4 linked regions of the Drosophila melanogaster genome follow. The protein of the gene in region 4 interacts with the protein of the main gene of each other region in a pairwise test. Each region holds a gene or a part of one and is shown on either strand. Other genes may lie near its edges.

Region 1 (5,854 bases), on a different chromosome or scaffold from region 4:
ATCGCAGCGCAAATAAAATAAAGCTAGAGGAGTGGAATGCGAATGTGCGAATGCGTCCAGTAATCCGGCGAGTGTTACCCCAATTTCGGTTTCGATGGCTTTTTTGAGAGGGCCAGCACGGAGTGCCTCGGAAGCATTTCCGAGCCATTTCAAACGGAAGTTTTGACACGTGTCAACACAGTGTGTTCGAGTGTGTTTATTTGCCCTGGGTCGGCGGTGTCAATGCAATAAAAACAAACACCAGTGCCAAGGGACATTTAGCCGAGCCAGCGATGCTGATTGAATTTTTGATTTATGCGGTGTGGAGGATGCTACTTCAAGTGCCCGAGTCGTATGGAAAGGTTAAAGGCCCCGATCCCAGCCAGATACCAGACCGATCCCAGCTCGATCCCGATCCGTAATGAAGTTGTGCGCCGGCCACTTGAAAGCTAATCAATATGTTGGCTATCTCCGACAATGTGTAGCCAGGTCAACCAATCATAGGCACACACAAATCAGTCAGAGGTCCTAAAATGCACTTTTCTGCTGCATCACGGCGGAGAAAAGAAATATGAAATTAGTCAAAAATATCATCATACAGCAACCAACTCATTATAATGCCACATGATTGTTCCAAAATCGAACACAATATGGCGGCGTCTCGAAATCAAATCGAAACATTTTAATTACCTTTCGATGAGTGTGCAAAAGAAAATACTGTTGTCCGAACAGATTTACAGAAATAGCTTTTTTGTGTGGCTAATTCTGTGATTTATGAATTTCTTTGTGAGTTTATAATCGCGGTAACTACAAGATGAAGCTATAATGAAGCCCGACGTCTTATTTTAATTCAATTTGGAATCATGAGGCCAAATTACAAAATAATAGAAATAAAGAGGCAACAACAAATGCCAAAAGCCAACATTAAAACAACAAAATATAAGCATGCTGGATATTGCGGAATATTGCTGGCCATATTTTCATTCTTCTCCTCCAATTTCCAAGTTAATTACGCCAAGGCTGAGGTCAATCAAGGATAATCCAGGACCAAGCGATATTTGCTGGAAAGTTTATTAACCTGATTGGCGCTCTTTTCACCAATTATGCGAAACTTTGTTTTGTGTTTTCGCATTTCATGTTTGCTTTCCCAACTTCCACTTGTTAATTGATTTTAATGGCTGTGTTTCGCCGCTTCTAATGAGCCCTACATGCTCAGCCATAAATTTCAATGGAACAAGTTCAACAGCCACTGGAATCAAAGTCATTAATTTGCGTTAAGCTCCGTTTCTGGCTTTATAGTTCGACTTCTCATAGATCACGACTATACCGCATAAATTGTATTTTAAAGCCTCCAACTATGGCTATGTTTTTTCAAAAGTGTTCAGGCTATGAGCTGCAAAGCGATTTTAATTTATTTTTGAAAGACAATTGAAAGAGAAATGCTTGAAATGGGCATGATTAATGATGGATTTAAGAAAAATTAATTATATTGAGAATTTGCATAGAGCGGTTGGCTATCAAAGTAATAGTAAGCCATTATTATTAAATAATACAAAATCTGAAGCCGACAACAAGGCTTAAAGTATAAAAAACAAAGGAGTAGCTAAACTAAATTTTTCAGTTCCTTTACAAATTTGACCAAGTTTCCAAACGTAGTTAAATACATGCCAGTCAAAATCCAAAGTCAAGAGAAGTCGCAGGCTTAGGGAAATACTAAGACCAAAAGTCGAAGTCAACCTAAAGCCGTAGAGTAATCCTAGCCGTAAGGACAACATCTTTGCGGGATTTTCTGGGCGCGGAAGAGCTTTGGGCGCAGGTTTTACAGGTGTCATAAAAGATGACCCGCCCGGCCAGTGGCGGGTTAAGCCAGGTAGTGGGCGTTGCAACGACTTTTGCCGTCGGTAACACGCTCACATCGACAACGTCCGGGATTTGCCCAGGCGGGCAAGGGTTATGCCCACGCAAGGTGAATTCTAAGAGATTGCAGACCTAGCATGTGCTATTCTAAATATAAGCGGTTAAAATCTGCATAAGGCTTCGACTTTCTATTAGTATTAAGATCTTTATAAAACAGGAATAATTACACACAGAATTTGACTGCCAAACCAAAACTAAATAAAAGTATTTTCTTAGTTTAATGAATGGTTTAATATGGTTTAAATATAAAGCGGAATGCACCGCCACACTTACCTGTATGCGTCCGCTTGTGGATCTTGAGGTTCTCGCTCCGGGCGAAGACCTTGCCGCAACCCGGGTGCGGGCAGGCGAAAGGTTTCTCGCCGGTGTGGACGCGGATGTGGTTGACCAGCTTGTACTTGGCCTTGAAAGGGCGTCCGTTGCGAGAGCAGCCCACCCAGAAGCAGGCGTGGGTGGTGCACTCGGGTCCGCCCACGTGCTCCACGGTCAGGTGGGTGACGATCTCGTGCATCGAGTGGAATACCTTGTTGCAGGTCTTCCTGCCGCCCGGGGGCACCAGGCCCGGCTGGTCGGGGTCTATCCAGAGGCACTGCATCTCCTGCTTAACGCTGGAGGCGGACGAGGCCGGCTGATGGCGCATGTAGCGCAGGAAGGCCCCTGCTCCGGCCGGGTGCATCGCGGACATGGCGTGGTGGGACGGGTGGTGCACGACCGGGTGGTGCACTGCCGCCGTCGGGAAGTTGCCGTGGTGGTTGTACGGGTGGCCGGCGGCGTAGGCATCCGCCATGCCCATTCGCATCTGATGGTGGTGATGGTGGCTGTGGAAGGGGTGTTGTCCGAACCCGGAGCCCAGCTCCGCGGCCTGAGCGGGAAAGCCGGAGAAGAGCATGGAATCCGCTGCGGCGGAGGCCTGTCCGGCGGATCCTGCCACACCGTACTCGGCCTCCCTCCTGCCCAGCAAAAAGTCCCGGGAGGCATAGCTGTTAAAGTGCCCATATCCGGAGTTCTGATAGGCTGCAGCAGTGGCCGCCGCGGATTCCTGATCCTGTTGCTGTTGCTGCTGCTGTTGTTGCTGTTGTTGCTGCTGCTGTTGGGTCATCTCCAGTTGCTGCTGCTGTTGCTGCTGCGCGTTGCTGTTACTGGCGGTGGTGTTGGGCGACATTCGCAGCCCGTAGCTGGCCAGGTGGTGCTGAGCCGGCTCAATGAAGGCGTTCATCATCATGGTTACAGTGTTATTGCTCGCTTATATGTTTTTAAAATTAATTCAGAAAGAACTGAACTACAAGTTTTCGATTCGCACTTTGCTAGGCCAATGAGCCCATCACGCACTGAGGTCACCTCACTTAGCTGTATATACTGTGCGCTTATTTCGCTCTTAGATATTTCGCATGCGACTTGATACTTATTTACGTAATGCACTCGCGCGCGATGCGTTTCTGGGGCGTTCGAATCGCAGCAAGACTTGACGCTAACCGAATGCCAAGACTTGACGTTTCAAGATGCGCAGCAGGACTGAAATGCTCCTGAAATTCTAACTCGCTGCTGTGTTGCCTCGTGAAAATATCTGCCGACGATCGCATGCGTGCGAATGGGATCGACCTATGCACGACGTAAAATGAATAGAGGGTAACGAAAGCGCGAGTGCGAGCAGGCCAGGCGTATGACCTGCCTGTGGTGAGTTGCGCTTGCCATGGTGTATTCGGCACAAGCCACCACTCTGTCGGATAGGCCTGAGCCATGGGTGCGAGTGCGACAACTCTAAGAAAATGGCCGCCTCCTCGCATGCTCCAGAGTCGGACAGAAGAGCACAGAGGCTGCGCACTCAGTCCAATTGGAACCCACCCGACCATAGCGCCCTCTCGCTCGGCAAACTGGTTTCGCGAAAATTAACACCCACTGCGGTTGGCCATTGGGTGGTGGGCCGACAGCGTGCGGCGTGCGCCTGTGCAGGGGGCCCAAATGCTGATTGGACCGACGGGCAGCCAATTGAAAGCTCGCGGGGATGCATTTTCCAGCCCGCTCCTCATTGTCACGGCGGACGAATAGCCCGCCACTTCGGGTAGCCCAGCTGTCAGCTTATCAAATTAGTTGTTTATTTTATTGATTTTAATGATATTAAGCACATTCCGTGCTCGGACATCGGAGATTTCCAGCCGTTTTGTTTAGGTTGCGCCATAAAGACGTACGAGATTTCATTAGCGCCAAACGCTCTGTTTTTCATTTGCTAATTTATGGAATTTTCAATAAGCAGTAGTCGAATCAATACATAATCTTGTATCAATCGACTTGATTGGATTCTGCTGAGTGTTAAGTGCCCCGGCAAAGTGGCTTTTGGGGCAGACTGTGAAGTGATACTTCGCCTGCATAGGGCAAAAATGTATAAATTTATTTTCATACAAAACATTTGCTTTGTGATAATATGGTATAACACTATGCTGTATGTATATAGTCAGACGCTCTTCTCAAAATATATGATTTTTTCTATTTACAATCCAAAAACTGAGCGATGCAAAAGGAAGGTCGTTAACATCAAAATTGTCTTCGTTTAGTATTCGTGTTTTGAACTAGTCCTCATCTGTAGATAATTTAAGGTTGATATGTAATTGCTGGCAGAGTATTAAAAATTGCTTAAGCTTTTAAAACGATAATAATTAAAATCAAATTGAATTTGGATATATATTGAGTAATCAAATTTTTATTCAAAAACAGTATTTTCTAATCAAATATATTGCCCTGAATTTATCGTTTGAGAAAACAATATTTCCTGGTAAAGTTTAAATGAGAATGAGAGCAAGAAAAGACCATGTGATTCCATGCTAATTACCTTGATTTCCGCAATGAATTAATTGGGGCAAATTGTGACATAAAGCGTCACCGCCAAGCGGTTCGGCTATTAAATTGTCAAAACAACTCAGCGGCAATCAGCAATCAGCGGACGGCAATCGACAGTCCATAGTCGTCCGAATGTCATACCGACCCCAATGCCATTTTGGGAGACGGGCAAGACCATAAAGCAGCGGAAAGTGCACCGAGCTGGCAGGCACCCAGTCCCGCAGAGCTCCAGCGACAAGTGTCACTCGAAATGAAGCCATTGCTCCATATCGATGATGGAGGATGAGGACGAAGCCGCCGGGTTGGAGCAGATGATGGGCTGCAAACGGAGCAGTCGGCTGAAGTGGATTTCTAGCGCACTGCCATAGAACTACTCCCATAAATAATGCCGTACGAGCCACTTGAAAATGGAAGCGCAAAATGCAATAAACTCTTAATAACAAAAAAGGAGCGGGGGAAACAATCTCAGGCGCTAGCAAACAAGAAATTATAAATTTAAAATGCCCAGATAAACAAAATGCAAGTTGGCCCAGCAGGTTGCAGCTTCTGTTGTTGTCTGTGATTCAAGAGGTCCATTTTGGACTAGACCGAATATCCACTTTCCAATGCAGAAAACGAATTTAACGACCCAGTCAATCATTCCAAGTTCAATAGAAGCTCTGAAGATCCAAGTAACATCAAAAATCTTGTAGCTTTTGCGATTTTTTAATTATCTTCCTCCATCATAGCCAACCATATGTTTTATAGTCGAGTTCTTTTAAGCCCTGATTATTTGCAATCCGTCGTGTTAGTAGACGTATTCATATTTTGGTGTCGATTTCACCCCTAAAAGCAGCGGACTGAACCCTCAGCTGTGCTTAATCAGTTTGGCCACAACCAAGTGGGCAACCAACCGGTGGGCGTCGGGGACAACCTGGGGACATGGCCGCGTGGCATGGGCACGGACTCATCAGAGTCAGAGCCGAAATCAAAATAAAACCGTAACCTGGCGTGGACGCCTTTGGCACATGCCGCGATCACAGCGGTGAGCACTGTACTGGTCTTTTGCCAGGGGTTCGCATGAGACCCGGGATTCCAGAGCCGAGACTCAAGATTCCAGTTCCAGTGCGGGATGGAGAGTTCCGTG
Region 2 (4,852 bases), on a different chromosome or scaffold from region 4:
ACGAGACTCTCGTAGCGTTGGCATCATATTCGATCTTTGGAAGAGCTATGATTCAAGCCAAGGGAAACAACTGCCAAAAAATAGAAGATTGCGACGAGCGGAAAGCAGAGTGGTGCACCACGGTGCATAGGTGCATAGGAGGTTGGTTGTCTAGAGATCTGGGCACGATGGCGAGACAAAGATGCGGCGCAAAATCGGAAATGGAGATGGATCACGTAGCCGGCCATGGCGGGCAGCGATTATAGGCGCTATAAAGAGCCGGAGTCATCGCCAGACAGCGAGCAGTAGACGATCCACACGTAAACGGCAACATGCAACTCGGTCTCTGGTTTGGCATTTTGGCCATCGCCGCCACGCCGGTTAGTAGCTTTTATCCATGGCATTCGCATTGGGCATCCCGCTAATCTCGCAAACTCTCTCTCTCTCTCTCTTACCTCCTCCTCATTAGCTGGTGAGCGCTAACTATGGTCCCGCTGGCGGACACGGACACGGACATGGACATGGACAGTACCTGTCCGGTCCCAATGCCGGACTCGAGGAGTACGTGAATGTGGCGTCTGGTGGCAACCAGCAGGCTGCCAATCAGATCGCCTCACAGGCCGAGATCCAGCCCACGCCGGAGGAGGCCCGTCGTTTGGGTCGCGTCCAGGCCCAACTTCAGGCCCTCAATGCCGATCCCAACTACCAGAAGCTGAAGAACTCCGAGGATATTGCCGAATCTCTGGCCGAGACCAATCTGGCCAGCAATATCCGTCAGGGCAAGATCAAGGTGGTGTCGCCACAGTTCGTTGACCAGCATCTGTTCCGCTCCCTGTTGGTGCCATCGGGCCACAACAATCACCAGGTGATCGCCACCCAGCCCCTGCCACCAATCATTGTCCACCAGCCTGGTGCACCACCAGCCCATGTGAACAGCGGCCCACCGACTGTGGTGCGCGGCAATCCGGTGATCTACAAGATCAAGCCCTCGGTCATCTACCAACAGGAGGTGATCAACAAGGTGCCCACTCCGCTGAGCCTCAACCCCGTCTACGTGAAGGTCTACAAGCCCGGCAAGAAGATCGAGGCTCCACTGGCCCCGGTGGTTGCACCCGTCTACAGCCAGCCCAGGGAGTACAGCCAGCCCCAGGGTTATGGTAGTGCCGGAGCTGCTTCCTCCGCCGCCGGTGCCGCCTCCTCTGCCGATGGCAATGCCTACGGCAACGAGGCTCCACTGTACAACAGCCCCGCGCCCTATGGCCAGCCCAACTACTAAGGTGCTCATCCTGGGCATGGGTTGCTCCTCAGCTGCGACAGCTGGTTTAATTTAAATTTTTGTTTTTTTTTTTCTTTGCCGAACTACTGAGCGCAAATAAATGAAAAAAAAATACTTGAAACGTAAACGTTTTGTCATCAATTATTTTCGACCGGAAGGGGCTACCTGAGTGGCAATGAAGCACACAGATTAAGCACATATTTATGAATATATAAATATATACGAATGCATGAGAGAACAAAAAATTATATCTAGTTTTCTTCAAAAATAAATAATAAAGGGGAAAATGGTATAAAGTATGAACATAAAATTATGAACGAGTATAAATAAGTTTGTAATTGAAATCTCTACGGTCATACAAGTATTTTAACTATTCTATAAATATGCATAAACATGGTACGCATTTTATGAGATACAATTCGAAAGATATTGGATAGCATTATCATGCATGAAATTATTTCACACTCTTGTGATGGTAGCTATCTTATTCCAGTTATCGTTTAATTGCAAAGAATGGGATCAAAAGGTCATCTTTATCAACATATTGTTGATTCCGGAATGAATAATAAATAATAACATAACTATGAATTAATGGAGCAACTATAATTTTACGGCCTCTTTTCTTTTAAACAAAGAATATAGCACTTTTAATGCATTAAATACGTATTTAAACCTTTTCTTTTGAAACGCCAAATTCATATTAGAGTTTCATAAGATTGTTTTAAAACATAACAACATAATAATTGAAGAATTGGAAATCTTTTTAGGTGTTTGTAAGCCTTTGAATTCCTAATTGGAATAGCTAAAGATCCATATTTCATCTTCAAATCTCTTTGCAACTAGAGATTTATTTTATCTGGCAATTATTAAGTATACATTTTTATATGGTACTTTAAACTGATGGTTTAATCAGTTACATGGATTTTCTAAATTAAAAATGGTCATGTGAAGATAGCCACTCTTCTAACAATCTAATCACATTTATAGTAAGAAATACAATACAATACAATACAATACAATACAATACAATACAATACAATAGAAAGACAATCGAATCTGCGCAATCCGTGTGAAATTCAAGGACTACAGCTGGGTGGCTAATCATTTCCCCCTATCCACTTACACCTCGGATTACCTCTTATTCCGACTCCCGGAGTCTTGTGTCTGCCAATGCGGAACTATTTTCGCTATCTGAACAGACGTTCGGACCTCGATATGCGGCAAAGATTCACAGCCCGGCTGTTGATTCCGATTCGGTGGCAATGTGTTCGTTGTTATTGTAAAACGGGCAATGGCAACTGGGCAGTGGGCAGTGGGGTTTTCGGGTTGTGGCTTCTACGTAAGTGGAAGAGACGCCGTGATATGCGCTGGCAGCGATGCGTGCGATCTATCAACATTTGGCCATGTTTCGTTCGCATCGCGTGGGCCCGGAGCGGAACAGCCGGCACCGGAGTTGGCATCAATCCAAATGTCACGTACCCGGAGCCGGAGACGCGTCCGGAGCATATTTAAAGTAGTCGGCCACCAATGGAGGGCAGCAGAAGACAGCAGACAGTCCAAGCGGGAGCACACCAGAAGCCGAAGAGCAACTGGAACTGCAACTGGGAGACAAGATGACGAGATCGACCTACATTTGGGCGCTGGCCGCCTGCCTGATCGTAAGTGTTCAAGCTCGAAATCTTAGGATTAATCCCAAGAAAACCAAGTCTATCAATTCTGACTGCTTTCGTTTGTGCCATGTAAATCGTACATGAAAAGCAAATTGACTTTCCTTTAAATTACTTGAAACGGAATCAAGCTATCTATCGATGCTAGACTTATTTTAAGTATATGTATATGTCGATCCAATTCTAATCCACCCCCCCCCCCTCAATTTACTTTTAGGCCTGTGCAAGCGCCAACTACGGCAGTTCCCAGGGCTATGGACCCGAGTCCGGAAGCGGTGCCTCCGATGGCGGTGCTGATGCCGCTTCAGCGGCCGCAGCAGCTGCCGGCGGTGCCGGTGGAGCTGGTGGCGAGTACGGTGGTGCTAACGCCGGTGCTGGTGCTCTCGAATCCGGAGCCGATGCCGCCGGTGTGGCACAGGCTGGCCAGAGCAGCTACGGATCCGACCAGAACATTCCGTACAAGCCGGTGAACACCAAGGGTAACACCCTGACCTCATCGATCACCTACCCGCAGAACAAGGGCGAGATCCTCATCCATCGTCCCGCTCCCATCATTGTCAAGCGTCCGCCCACCAAGGTGCTGGTGAACCATCCACCATTGGTGGTTAAGCCCGCTCCCGTGGTGCTCCACAAGCCCCCAGCAATCGTTCTCCGCAAGGTCTACGTCAAGCACCACCCACGTCGCGTCAAGGTTGAGCCCGTGTTCGTCAATGTGGTCAAGCCCCCAGCAGAGAAGTACTTTGTCAACGAGAACAAGCAGGGCTACGGACAGGGCTCGCAGTCCCACGGACACGGCCATGGACACGGTGGCCATGGACACGGACACAGCGGACACGGACACGGTGGACACGGTGCTGGACCCCATGGTCCTGGACCCCATGACGGTGGCCGTGCTCTGCCCGCCTACGCTTCGGGAGCTGATTCCGCTGCCGCCAGCGCTGGCTATCAGCTGCTCCAGAGCGGCAACCAGGGTCTGTCCGCTCTTGCCAACATCGCCGGCGAGCGTGAGGGTCCCTATGGTCCCGCTCCAAGCCATCAGCACTATAGCGCCGGTCCAGCCGGACATGGCGGCTATGCTGCTCCCGCCTATTAGGTAACAGATGCGGAGGAGTTACGGATTGGATGACTGCTGCGGCTCCGGAATCAACTGAAGCGGCTGGTTTAGTCATTCGCTTATCCGGCTGATTAGTTACTATGTTTTTTTTACAAAAAAAAAAAAAAAAAACAGCCTGATCGACCAACGCCCATGCCTACGCCCACGCCCACTCATGCACACCCCAATACCACCCACTCACCCATTCAACGGCCCAGGAGGGGCGTGGCACTCAGGTTTCTTTGCAAAACAAATAAAAAATTTGAACAAAAAAAAAAAAACAATTATACCCAAGCTGAATGTTGTTTTCGATGAAGGGTGAAATCTAGATGCTAGTTATATTTAAATTAAACTATCATTAGATATATACTCTAATTGATAGTTATTGATAGTCTTGCGACTCATTTTAAACTTGATACACTTATAGCATAGACAGTGAGTAATATCATTGATATTATTATATAATTATTGTTACACAAAGTGCATATGATGAGAATCGATTTAATGATGGGAGAACTGACTTACCCGCAACTTTATTCGCAGCAACAAGTGTCGCATATAATAAATACAATAAATCCGAAACGCAGGCTGTCATTACACACATCGTTTGGTTGTCCTTCCCCATTGTTGTGCGTTATGCCAATGGCATCCCACGCAATTGTTCAATAACAAACGGGCGGCAAAATCGGCTATAATGATAGGTAAGGCAAAGAAGAGCTCGGCTGATGACAGGTGGAATCGCAATTTAGGTCGCCCAGTGCCGCCCATTTGGCAGTTTGAAAATTCAGCATAAAAATGCGATACCTTTGCACAGAGATTTCAGTCTGTAAGCAGAAA
Region 3 (4,547 bases), on a different chromosome or scaffold from region 4:
ATAGTAAAAGGTTTTCTTGTTCTCGGCCCGCTGACGAACCTGCACGAGGCAGCGCCAGAAGTCCTTGGCCTCGGTCCGATGGCAGTCGTTGCACATCTGGTTCTGCACAGTGAACTCCACCACGAATACCTGCTGGAGCATCGTTCCCCCGATGATCTCCCCATGCACAGTCAGCTTCACCTTTATGCGCTTGGAGTGCTGTTCTGTCCAGATGAAGCCGGCATCCACCAACTTCACTTCCTTCAGGCCTTTTAGCTTCTTAAGGCAAATGGCCAAGAGTTCGCGGGACTCCAAGGCGGCCTGTATCCACTCGTTCGGCGGTTGCAGATAGCGCTCGCAATTACGACAGAAGTGGAGCACGGCCTGCTTTGGGATGTTCTCCGTGATGTCGACATGGTTGCGCAGGCAGGTGACGCACATGTTGGCCGGATTCGGCTGGATGGCCACTCCGCACTCGCAGCACAGGATGACGGCGTTCGATCCGGCGCCCTTGCCGTCCGCTGCGCCCAGCGGGCTAACCCCAACGTATTCGTGATCCATGAATCCTCCGGAGGTCTATTCGGTCCAGCTATTTCACAATGGCGTTGTAGAATACGATGAAATATTCCCACGAAGTACACAAATTTGTAAACACGTGCGTATAGGTGTATATCGATTGGCCAGAGATCAGCGATATTATTAATCGGCGATTTAAGTTAAGCCTTTTCCAGCTAGAGTAGCTAAAAGTGAGATTAACGATAAAACGACGTTAAACGAGTGAGACTCAAAGCTAAATGGGACATTTGGAACGATTTCCTAAAATTCACTTAAAAATATAGTACTCATTCGACTGTCTTCATCTTTATTTTGGCTAGTAAATGTACGCCCAATTATCGATACATTCGCCGCCGTCATCACTGACAGACCAGCTGAGGCGACGGACTCGACTGCCGGAAACTTTTATGGACTTGGAAGGGATTTGCCGCCATGCAGAAGAAGCCGATTAACACCAACACGCTGCTGGACAAGCTGCACCGCGGCGCGGTGTATGCCTGCATTGGAGTCACCCTGTACGGCACCTACATCCTGGGAATGCGCTACTACCACTACTGCACGGTCATCCGACCGGAGAAGCAGCAGGCGGAGCTGAAGCTCCTGGACGAGGGAGCCCACGACAAGGCCAAGGAACTGAAGTACTAGGCGCGCCCTCCTCCGCCCCTTTAATTGTTAAATGTCTGTTAAGCGCAATAAACTGTAAGGAAATGTAAGCATTTTCAGCTGAAAACGGCCAACGCCGGTTGTTGTTGTGTAACCTCGGACAGCTGGCCAAAGTGGAGGACCGTCGGCAGGCCCGGTGGGATTGTAAGATTCCAGATTCAAGATCTAACCCTGGAACCAAGCCAACAATGCGCAATTAGCCGTCTGGGCCGTAAATCAAACTGGTCGGCTACAATGGGAAATCAATCAATCGACAGCGACATGGACATCGACCCGTTCGGCGGACTAGACTTAGTCAAGAATTATAATTTAGCTGGCAATCAAATATGTTGTCATCTCCGGATCGTGACCAGGTCCCAGTCCATAGACCAAACCCCTTGGCTGCTTGGTCTTCCGCTTGCCCAACGCGTCTCGCGTGCATTCACCTCCAATGGGCAGAGCATAAATATTAAACGATGTGGATACGAAAACAACCGCGGGGAGAAGGAGACAATGGCGGTGCCACCCACTTTTGGCCAGAGATGGCGAGACGTCGTCGATTGGGAAAATCTTTTGCATGCTTCATTCAACAATGTTGCCTCCGGCGTTGCTTCATTCATGACTTGGGAACTCGGAGCAGCAAAAGCAACAGCCGCAGCAGACTGCAATTGCGATTTGCAATTGCCACTGCGGTCAAGGTCGTCCTTTATTGTGTGGGCACGGCACTGGGTACTGGGTAGCAAGTACCCCCGGCAGACGGAAGTGATCGAGAATAATGGAACGCGCAGAACAGAGTCGTCTGCCCAAATGGCTATCAAATTGTTTTAAAACTTTAGTATATTAAGCAAAAGCTGTGCTCCTCTGAATAGAAGATCTCTTCAACCTAGTTTCAAGCCCATTAAAACTAATGACCATTGACCTGGTCACCGATCCTTGTCCCAATATACCCCTTAAGCCAGAGGTCTCCGTCAAAGTCGTGCACTTTGGATATTCTGTCGATAAGACTTTGCATTGGAAATGATCTGGCAGAGATCTCAGCTGTCTGGCAGCTTAATTAAAATGCCAAAACGCTGCCAAACGTGCAATTGTTTGTAATTTGTGTATAATGCTGGCGCGCATATGCGATTCCCACGGGGCCAGTGGCATCCCAGCATTTGGCCAGCTTCTGAACGAGCTTAGGTAATAGTGCGCCTTTTGGGCGCTGCTGGCCATCCGATCTGGCAGTGAAAGTGTTACACGATATGCATACCGTGTACGAGAGGGGCACTTGGTGATTGTGGAACGCGTCGAGTGTCTCGTGTTGCACGTTGCTTGTGGATCGCGTTGCTGCCCCACTTCGGTTACCCAACGAGCCTGGGATCTTAGAATTTCGACTACGCTGGCAATTATAACCGATATCGTTAGTTTCCACGCCCACTCCACCTCACTCCCCCCACTGCAATCCTCCGCCAAGTTCTCCTCCGCCGGATGAGCGGATGGATGACCTTTTGGCTCCGCAGCATAAACAATATTCGGTTTCAAGTCCTCAACCCGTCATGCATTCAATTCAGCTGCAACAATCGCTGCTGCTGCTGCTGCTGCCGCCGTTATTGTCAGTTTGCATAATTGCAACTGTAGCAGCAACTGGCAACAATAAGCCAAGCCGGGTGACTATAAAAGCGTCGGGCCACTGGCAGCCATCAACAAACCTCGCCTGGCGCCCTACCCATCAAGTCAACCAGCCAACAGCCACTAGCAACATCTGCAGCAGCAACATGAAGTTCTTGGTAAGCAGCAACACCAGGACATTAGGATACCAGGATACCAGGACACCGGTCAAGCAAACGAGTGGACTTTTTTTTGAGTGACAGTTTATCCAACAAAATACAAGTTATTTAAAATTGCTGGAAGTGCTCTGGCTACAATTTGAAACAAATCATTTGTTAACATCGTTTCAAATGTTTCATATACCGAACCTTTTTTTCTCTGTGCAGTGCGTGTTCGTCATCCTGGCCATTTGCTTCATGAGCACCTGGGCAGCAGTTTCGGAGCCTGCTCCTGAAGCTCTGGAGCCGGAGCCATCCGCCGTGGATGAGAAGAAGACGGAGAAGAGAGGCATCTACGGGTTCGGCCACGGCTATGGCGGCTACGGCGGATACGGCGGATACGGTGCCTATGGACACGGTCACTACGGCGGCTACGGTGGACTGAGCAGTCCCTACTACGGCGGCTACGGATACGTCCATGCGGCGCCCTACTACGGCGGACACCACGGCTACTATCCGTACCACCATGGCCACTACGGCTTCTACTAGGACCACTACCTATCCCCAAGATCGTAATGCATACTGTTTTTTTTTTCTCGATCGCTCCATGCTCATCACTGCACCATCATTCGTATATGTATATGTACTGGTTTTCCCCCATCATTCACCGCAATATAAATGTACTGCAAATAGCGAATACATTACTCGCATGTCTTTGAATTTGGGTTGGATGTAGTACAAATATGATATATGTACATATGTAAACAAAGTTAAATCCTACTCAACAATAAAGAATCGATTACATTGCATATGTATGACAGTAAAAGTGATTTTCGGTCACTCTATGGGGGCCAGTGAAGGTATAAAGCCGCTATTGGCCCAGTGACTGTTATACAAAAGTCACTGTTCTAATTGCGATCGGCGCGTGACCACCAGTCTTTCGGATCATCAGCAAAAATCAGGAATTCGACTTCGAGATGCTGAAGCGCGATCTGCAGAAAATCACACTCAAGCTGTCCGATCTCAAGGACTATGAGGTTGCCCGCCAAAAGAACAAGTTAAAGGGCGCCCCGCGACCTAGGCTTTCTCAGGACGCCCTCCCCGGAGACGACGCCTCCACTTCGGGAACAACGGCAAGTTGCAGTTCCAACACGGAAACGGCCACGGAAACCGCATCGGGATCCGGATCAGGGTCTGGATCGGGCTCGGGTTCTGGGTCCGGGTCGTACATTACGGGAATGGGCTACCGTTCGGAGACACCCTCCTCCGCATCGTACACCACGTCGACGACCCCGACTCCGGCCACTCAGGAGGAGATACTGAGACCCTCGTCCGCCGTCACGGCCACCACAACCACTGGCACCACTAATTCCGGCTCCACGGATGACGTGAGCGTGGCGGCCGTAGTGGATGACACGGATACCATTGACGAAATCAGCGATGACAACTGGGTGGACCTGAATGCGGACACCAACGATACCGTTGATACCCAGCCGGAGGAGCAGGACCAACTGCAAGAGGTGGAGGAGGAGGATGGGGCTAGGGGAGGAGTGTAATCCTGACCGCTTATCGCGTTATGAAAACATAGCGCAGCTGCACTCAAAGCCCACCCCCCCCCCCCCCATT
Region 4 (6,106 bases):
TCCAGCTCCTACCTACCTGCCTCCCACCAACAAACCACTGCCACCAGTCACCGTGCGCACAACTGTTCGTACCACTCCTCGTCCAACTTTGCCTCCTACCAAGCCACCAACTCGCCCACCAACCACTTACTTGCCACCCCCAAGTGTGCGCACCACCCGCCCTCCTCCACCACCCACTCGTCCACCAACTAAGCCACCAACCACTTACTTGCCTCCCGTTACCGTGCGCACCACCCGTGCCACCCCACCACCAACTCGCCCACCAACCCGGCCACCAACCTACCCACCCACCACTCGTCGTTTAACAACCCCGGCTCCTACTTACCTGCCACCCACCAACAAGCCTCTGCCACCGGTCACCGTTCGCACCACCGTTCGTACCACTCCTCGGCCAACTCTGCCTCCTACCAAGCCACCAACTCGCCCACCAACCACTTACCTGCCACCCCCAACTGTGCGCACCACCCGCCCTCCTCCACCACCCACTCGGCCACCAACTAAGCCACCAACCACTTACTTGCCTCCCGTTACCGTGCGCACCACCCGTGCCACCCCACCACCAACTCGCCCACCAACCCGGCCACCAACCTACCCACCCACCACTCGTCGTTTGACAACCCCGGCTCCTACTTACCTGCCACCCACCAACAAGCCTCTGCCACCGGTCACCGTTCGCACCACCGTTCGTACCACTCCTCGGCCAACTCTTCCACCCACGAGGCCCCCAACTAAGCCACCAACCACCTACCTGCCTCCCCCAACTGTGCGCACCACCCGCCCTCCTCCACCACCCACTCGGCCACCAACTAAGCCACCAACCACCTACCTGCCCCCCGTCACTGTTGTGCGCACCACCCGACCTCCTCCACCACCCACTCGTAGGACCACCGTGTACGTGCCACCACCAACAGTGCGCACCACCGTGTACGTGCCACCCCCTACGCAGCGCACCACAGTCTACGTCCCACCCGCACCCACCAAGCACCAGGGCTACCAGTACCCCGTGCCCAGCATCCCCTTCAACTTCTAGATCTAGAGATCCAGATGTGATTAGGGATAGGGCCATCGTCTAGGGCTAGATTGATCTAGTCAATTCTCGTACAGTCTAACTTTACACGATCCGGCGCCAGCGGTGCTAGAGGGCGCCACTGGTGCGCCTGCAAGGACGACATTTGTTTGTTTTTATTTTATTTTTGTAATTAATGAATCGCATACTCATACAGCTAGGGATCATTGTAAATGAGTGCCCCAATTGTACAGCTAACAGTCTATCCAACTCTTGCTATGTTCTATCACTATTCTACAATCGATGGGCGGCCGTCGTCTGTGACGGACGCCAGCTCAAGACTATATAGCTCTATATTACGATTAAATAAACTTTTAATTCGGATCGCTGAAACCTGAACAATAAAATAAGTTTTTCGAATATTTACAAGCATTTTTTTCATCTGTTTTTGGGAAGCGGAAATTACATGCGGTCCTGTTATGTTATGTGCGATGTTTGAAACCCAAACAATAATAACATATTTTCTTTTTCACTCCTAACCGGGAAATGGGATCAAGCCATGTCCGGGAGATTTTGTGGTCTGGTTGGTCTCGTGGGTTCCTCCTCTTTTGGGAGTTATCTTAAAAGTCGGTTTTAACGACTATGCAAAGGAGATCGTTGCTTGCAAGTCATAAAGCGCCCAAAGTGCAGGTTAGGCAGTTAACCTTGACCTCCACTTCTGGTCTCTACTAATTTAAGTTATGGATGTGAAACACGTTAGCTTAGTTAATAGGTTTGAAAAGTTCGTATGAGTAGGTATTTAAATACATGTATGTTTACTATGAGCGATGTATATTTTCATGAAATATGAAATAATTTAACCTTAGGTTATAATTAAATGTCAAATTTGAGATATAGTTAAAATGTGATTTGAACTTATGACTTTTAAAATATTGAATCGATTTTTTTAATATAATTATTGATTATCACTAAATGTTATCATTTCCCTTTTTAAAAAGTATTTCACTTATATACAAAATTAGAGCTATGGCTAGTCAGCTCCTTCGTGAGTGCATAACCACTTCGGTTTCATCACGCCCCGAAGATATTTCTAGTTACTTCGCAGCTATCTTCAGATTTTCATGGTCAATGCGTTTTTTAATATCTCTTTCTTTTCCACTTGCCTGGGAGCACGAATTCGCCTGAGCAATTAATTTATTTATCTGTCTGTAGCTTGCTGTTTTGCTTTCGCAGCCAAACTCTATTAAACTTTCTAATTAAGCTGTTGCACTTGGGCCGATATAACCGACGCTTTTTAGGCGCCGCCAGCTCCCAGTTGCAATCAGTCATCGTTGCGATCCGCGATGAGGCAGAAGCTCAGGCCCACATTCATCAAGCGATAGGCAAGCCGAGTGGTTCGAGCAGCAGATCCCGGAAAGATGTTCATGCAGTCGGCAGTCGGTCAAGGACAACGGGACACTCGAACGCGACTGGATCCTTGCTGGACTAAAGGCAGGCGGTGGATTATGGGCCTGATCCTGGTGTACACAATAGTGAGTTGAGGATTCGAACCTCTTATACAAAAGGGTTTTTTTTTTATTACGCAGTACAGTGTAATTGGACAATTTTTGTTTGTTGTTTACATATTTTGAGTAACAATTACGCGAAAATCTAGACATGAGGAAAGGGGGCCGTAATTGTACATCTCCCAATTATCTCTTATCTTTGATTTCATTTTGTGTGTACCCGCAGATGTCTCTCATGGTAGTGAAGGTCGCCTCCGCAGCCACTCTTTATCAGCAGCACCAGCAGCAGCAATCTCTGAACGACATTGAGTCCTCAGCAGACGAGCCATCCCAGGCCACCACGGAGATCGAGCCCTCGGACAGCGACAGCGACATCGAGAAGATGCGGGCCAAGCTGCAGCAACTGCAGCACGAGCAGCAGCAACAGTACCTGCGCCAGCAGCAACAGCAACTGCAGCTGCATCTGCAACAGATGCAGGCGACGCAGGGAGCTGCTGGGGAAACCGCCTACTTATTGGAGCGTGCCGATAGCAACATTGCACCCATCTACGGGACGTGGCGCACGAAAGCGCAACGGCAGCAACACGCAACATCTTCGCACGAAACGGACGACGCCCATGTTTACGAGCGCCTGCCCAAGCGATCGGCGACCATGACGCCACTGAGGGGGTTGCTGCGAGATCAGATGCCACGCCCCCCGCGCCTCACCACCCAGGATATGCAATTGTCCCTGGGCTCACCCTCTCCGCCACCGGCGCCCACAAAGGGTTTGCTACGAAGGCAGTACTCCGAAACGCCGGGAACCCGAGCACTTCGAGGTCAGGATGAGTTCAAGCCAAAGCCGTTCCACTTCCCCTACGATGGTCCGATGCCCGAACAGTTCACTAAGGGTGAGGGTCGACCCGAGCTTAACAACATCCAGGATATCCTGCAGCATCTGCACATCGGAGGCTTAGCGCCCAGTAAGCTGCCACCAATGGTGATGATGCCCACGGGTCTACACATCGCCGGTACGTTCAAGAATTTCAAGTCCAGTGGAATAGGGAACTTCTTTCGCGGCAAGCGCAACAAGAAACAGATGCAGTTCACCATACCGATGCCCATGTTCCCCATGATGTCTATGCCAATGCCATGGTATAATCCCGGTGTGATGCCCCACCAAAGGGTGGCCATCGATCAACTGTATCCTTACAAGCCCCGTTCACCGCAGGATGTAAATCTGTTAGCCATGCAGCCAGTGGGAAACGGAAAACCATTGTCTAAAAAGAAGAAAAAGAAGCAACAACAGCACCTTCAGCAGCAACTGCAGCAACAACATCAGCAACAACAGCAGCAACAACAGCTACTGGAGCATGGCAGTCAGCAGCATTTTGTGGCAGATCCCTTCGTGCACCAGCATTTTGCACAGCCTGTGGTCACGCTGAATGCCACACGGCAACCGCATCTGAAAAGGGTTCCTTTTAAGGTCAATCTGGACATATATCCTGTGCTGCCGCCTTCGCGGCCTGCCTCTGTGATGCGGCATCCATTTCAGCAGGACTATGCCCTTCCCTCGCCTGCTGCATTGACTGGTACCACGGCTGCCGCGTATCACATGGGTCAGGGCATTTACCAGACTCCCTTTAAGTTCCCCACCCAACAGCCCGTAGTCTTCCCTGACCAGGCTACCAGATACAGTCAGCAGCAGGCTCTGTACCACAACCAGGCCCACAAGTTTCCGCCACCGAAGAGCGTGCATCCTGAGGAGCCCATTTACGGACAGAGTTCCGGACAGGGTCAAAGTCAAGTGGATAGCCAAACGAACCCCATCATGGTGCACTTGAACGTGTTCCCCAAGCAGAAACCAACTGCCACGATTCGCGCCTCCACCAATCCATTCTACAATCACAACATGCAACGCAACATGATCAACTCGAATGACTTGCCGCCACCCAATCCGCCCAGTCCCATTGAACCAAGACAAGAAGTCAATGGCAGTGGCTCTGGTCTGCAACAACAGCAGCAGCAGCAACACCATCCGTCGCAGCAGCAGCAACACCATCCGTCGCATAATCAAACCCAACAGCAACAGGAAGCGACACAACAGCAACATCTGCAATCCCAGCCAGGAAATCGATCCAGTACCATTTCGCGCAGCGATCACCTGCCGCTTATTGACTTTGAGCATCCTATTGTGGCGGCTGAGCTCCCAGATCATTCCGCCTTGGGCAGCATTCGGCAGGATTATCGATATAGGAAAACACCTGCGGATGAGCACTATCGTTATCCGAAGAGCGCCAATATCGAACAGATGGCAGCGGAGGCCCAGACCGCCTCGCTTTTCCGCTTTCCGGTTGAGGATCTGATACAGTTCCAGGTGGACGATGCTCTCTAACCACTAACTACGCTAGTTGTACTTAGAGTAAGTTAAGGCTAGCTGTTCCGCATTGCAAGGACTTACCTTGAATAATTAAATGAAATATAGCTAAATTGAATGTTTTGTATTTATAATATTATTAATAAAGGTATCTCAATTTCTATTAACAGACGCGATTCTTATTATTCAAATCATGTTTTGGCATTTTATCAGAATTAATTTATTCGGTAGTGGGTTGATAAAAAATGAATAGATTTTGCTAATATGTAGATTGATAGCGCATAATTTAATGTAGTTCAAGTTGTACAAATTCTTAAGGCTTATTTTTAATCGGATCATGAAGTTAATTTACATCTCTGTATGTAATTTTTATTACAAATGTTGTAGTTTGCTTCATATTAAATTAAATTAAAGCAGGGCTATGGATTGTAAATAGGAACCCCTTTAAAAGGTAGGCAATAATGAATCCCGAAAATACTTTTTTCGTGAGCCCAAAAGTGGGCTTCAAACTTCACTGCCAGTTTTCATTGCCAATTCCATTGCGCGTGCGCGAAACCCGCAGCAAAACAGAACCGGCAAGAGCCGAAAACCAGTATTCCGAGCCGAGTCTTTGTGAGCGCCTCTCATTGGAAAGAACGGGCAGCAACAGGTAAGTCCGGCCAGAAGGTAAGCGAGCGTCGCTTCGTACAGACGTGGTCGCGCTTGTAACTCGACTCAAATCGGCATCCGCAAGATACTTTAGAGCAATCCGTAGCAGCAAAAACAACAAGAGCAGCAAGGCGCAAGATCAAGTTTCGGACCCTAGCGTCATCCGTTGTGCGGTTTCGAGTGTGTGTGTTATTTGCGTGCGTTGGCCAAAACCGAAAATATAACCGTGGAATAGTTGACCAGAAATGGTCATTCCGCATTAGTGTTAATTATAGTTTATTTGCCCGAACTGCTTGCCCTAAGCCGACCGCCCAAATTGCATTTACTTCCTGCTTTTTCGCCACGCTCTCTCCTTCTTCCTCTCCGCCATTTCGGTCTCCATTTGCTGTTCTTTTTTGGCCAAAACAAGAACCCATAGATACCTACTATACTATATACCTGAACCAGTCGGCTGCCTGTGTTTATTTGTTTTAGCCGCTTTTGCACATTCCCCTGCTTTTGCTTGCGATCCGTGGTGTGTGGTGTTGGTACCAAAAGAAAGCCATCATCGCCACATTTGCCAATCGCCGAGAAGTGCCCAATGATCGGAAC

What was found.
Region 1: the proteins of CG13728 (region 4) and opa interact in a two-hybrid assay, tested with the Drosophila melanogaster proteins (one large-scale study listed by BioGRID).
Region 2: the proteins of CG13728 (region 4) and Cp38 interact in a two-hybrid assay, tested with the Drosophila melanogaster proteins (one large-scale study listed by BioGRID).
Region 3: the proteins of CG13728 (region 4) and CG17777 interact in a two-hybrid assay, tested with the Drosophila melanogaster proteins (one large-scale study listed by BioGRID).

Annotation. Positions count from the first base shown.
Region 1 is NT_033777.3:4,850,370-4,856,223, reverse strand, and holds the start of opa (odd paired), read right to left. Parts: upstream 3,412-5,854; 5' UTR 3,119-3,411; coding exon 2,170-3,118; intron 1-2,169. UniProt on the Drosophila melanogaster protein: Transcription factor essential for parasegmental subdivision of the embryo. It is involved in the activation of wingless (wg) in odd parasegments.
Region 2 is NC_004354.4:8,479,046-8,483,897, forward strand, and holds Cp38 (chorion protein 38), read left to right. Parts: upstream 1-2,791; 5' UTR 2,792-2,868; coding exon 2,869-2,913; intron 2,914-3,139; coding exon 3,140-4,015; 3' UTR 4,016-4,266; downstream 4,267-4,852. Other genes in the region: Cp36 (chorion protein 36), read left to right, coding at 312-359, 449-1,255.
Region 3 is NC_004354.4:2,183,999-2,188,545, forward strand, and holds CG17777 (uncharacterized protein), read left to right. Parts: upstream 1-2,856; 5' UTR 2,857-2,930; coding exon 2,931-2,942; intron 2,943-3,149; coding exon 3,150-3,470; 3' UTR 3,471-3,743; downstream 3,744-4,547. Other genes in the region: Nmd3 (Nonsense-mediated mRNA 3), read right to left, coding at 1-540; CG17776 (uncharacterized protein), read left to right, coding at 967-1,179; CG3457 (uncharacterized protein), read left to right, coding at 3,899-4,477.
Region 4 is NT_037436.4:17,378,952-17,385,057, reverse strand, and holds CG13728 (uncharacterized protein), read left to right. Parts: upstream 1-2,329; 5' UTR 2,330-2,424; coding exon 2,425-2,538; intron 2,539-2,737; coding exon 2,738-4,885; 3' UTR 4,886-5,032; downstream 5,033-6,106. Other genes in the region: CG13731 (uncharacterized protein), read left to right, coding at 1-1,030.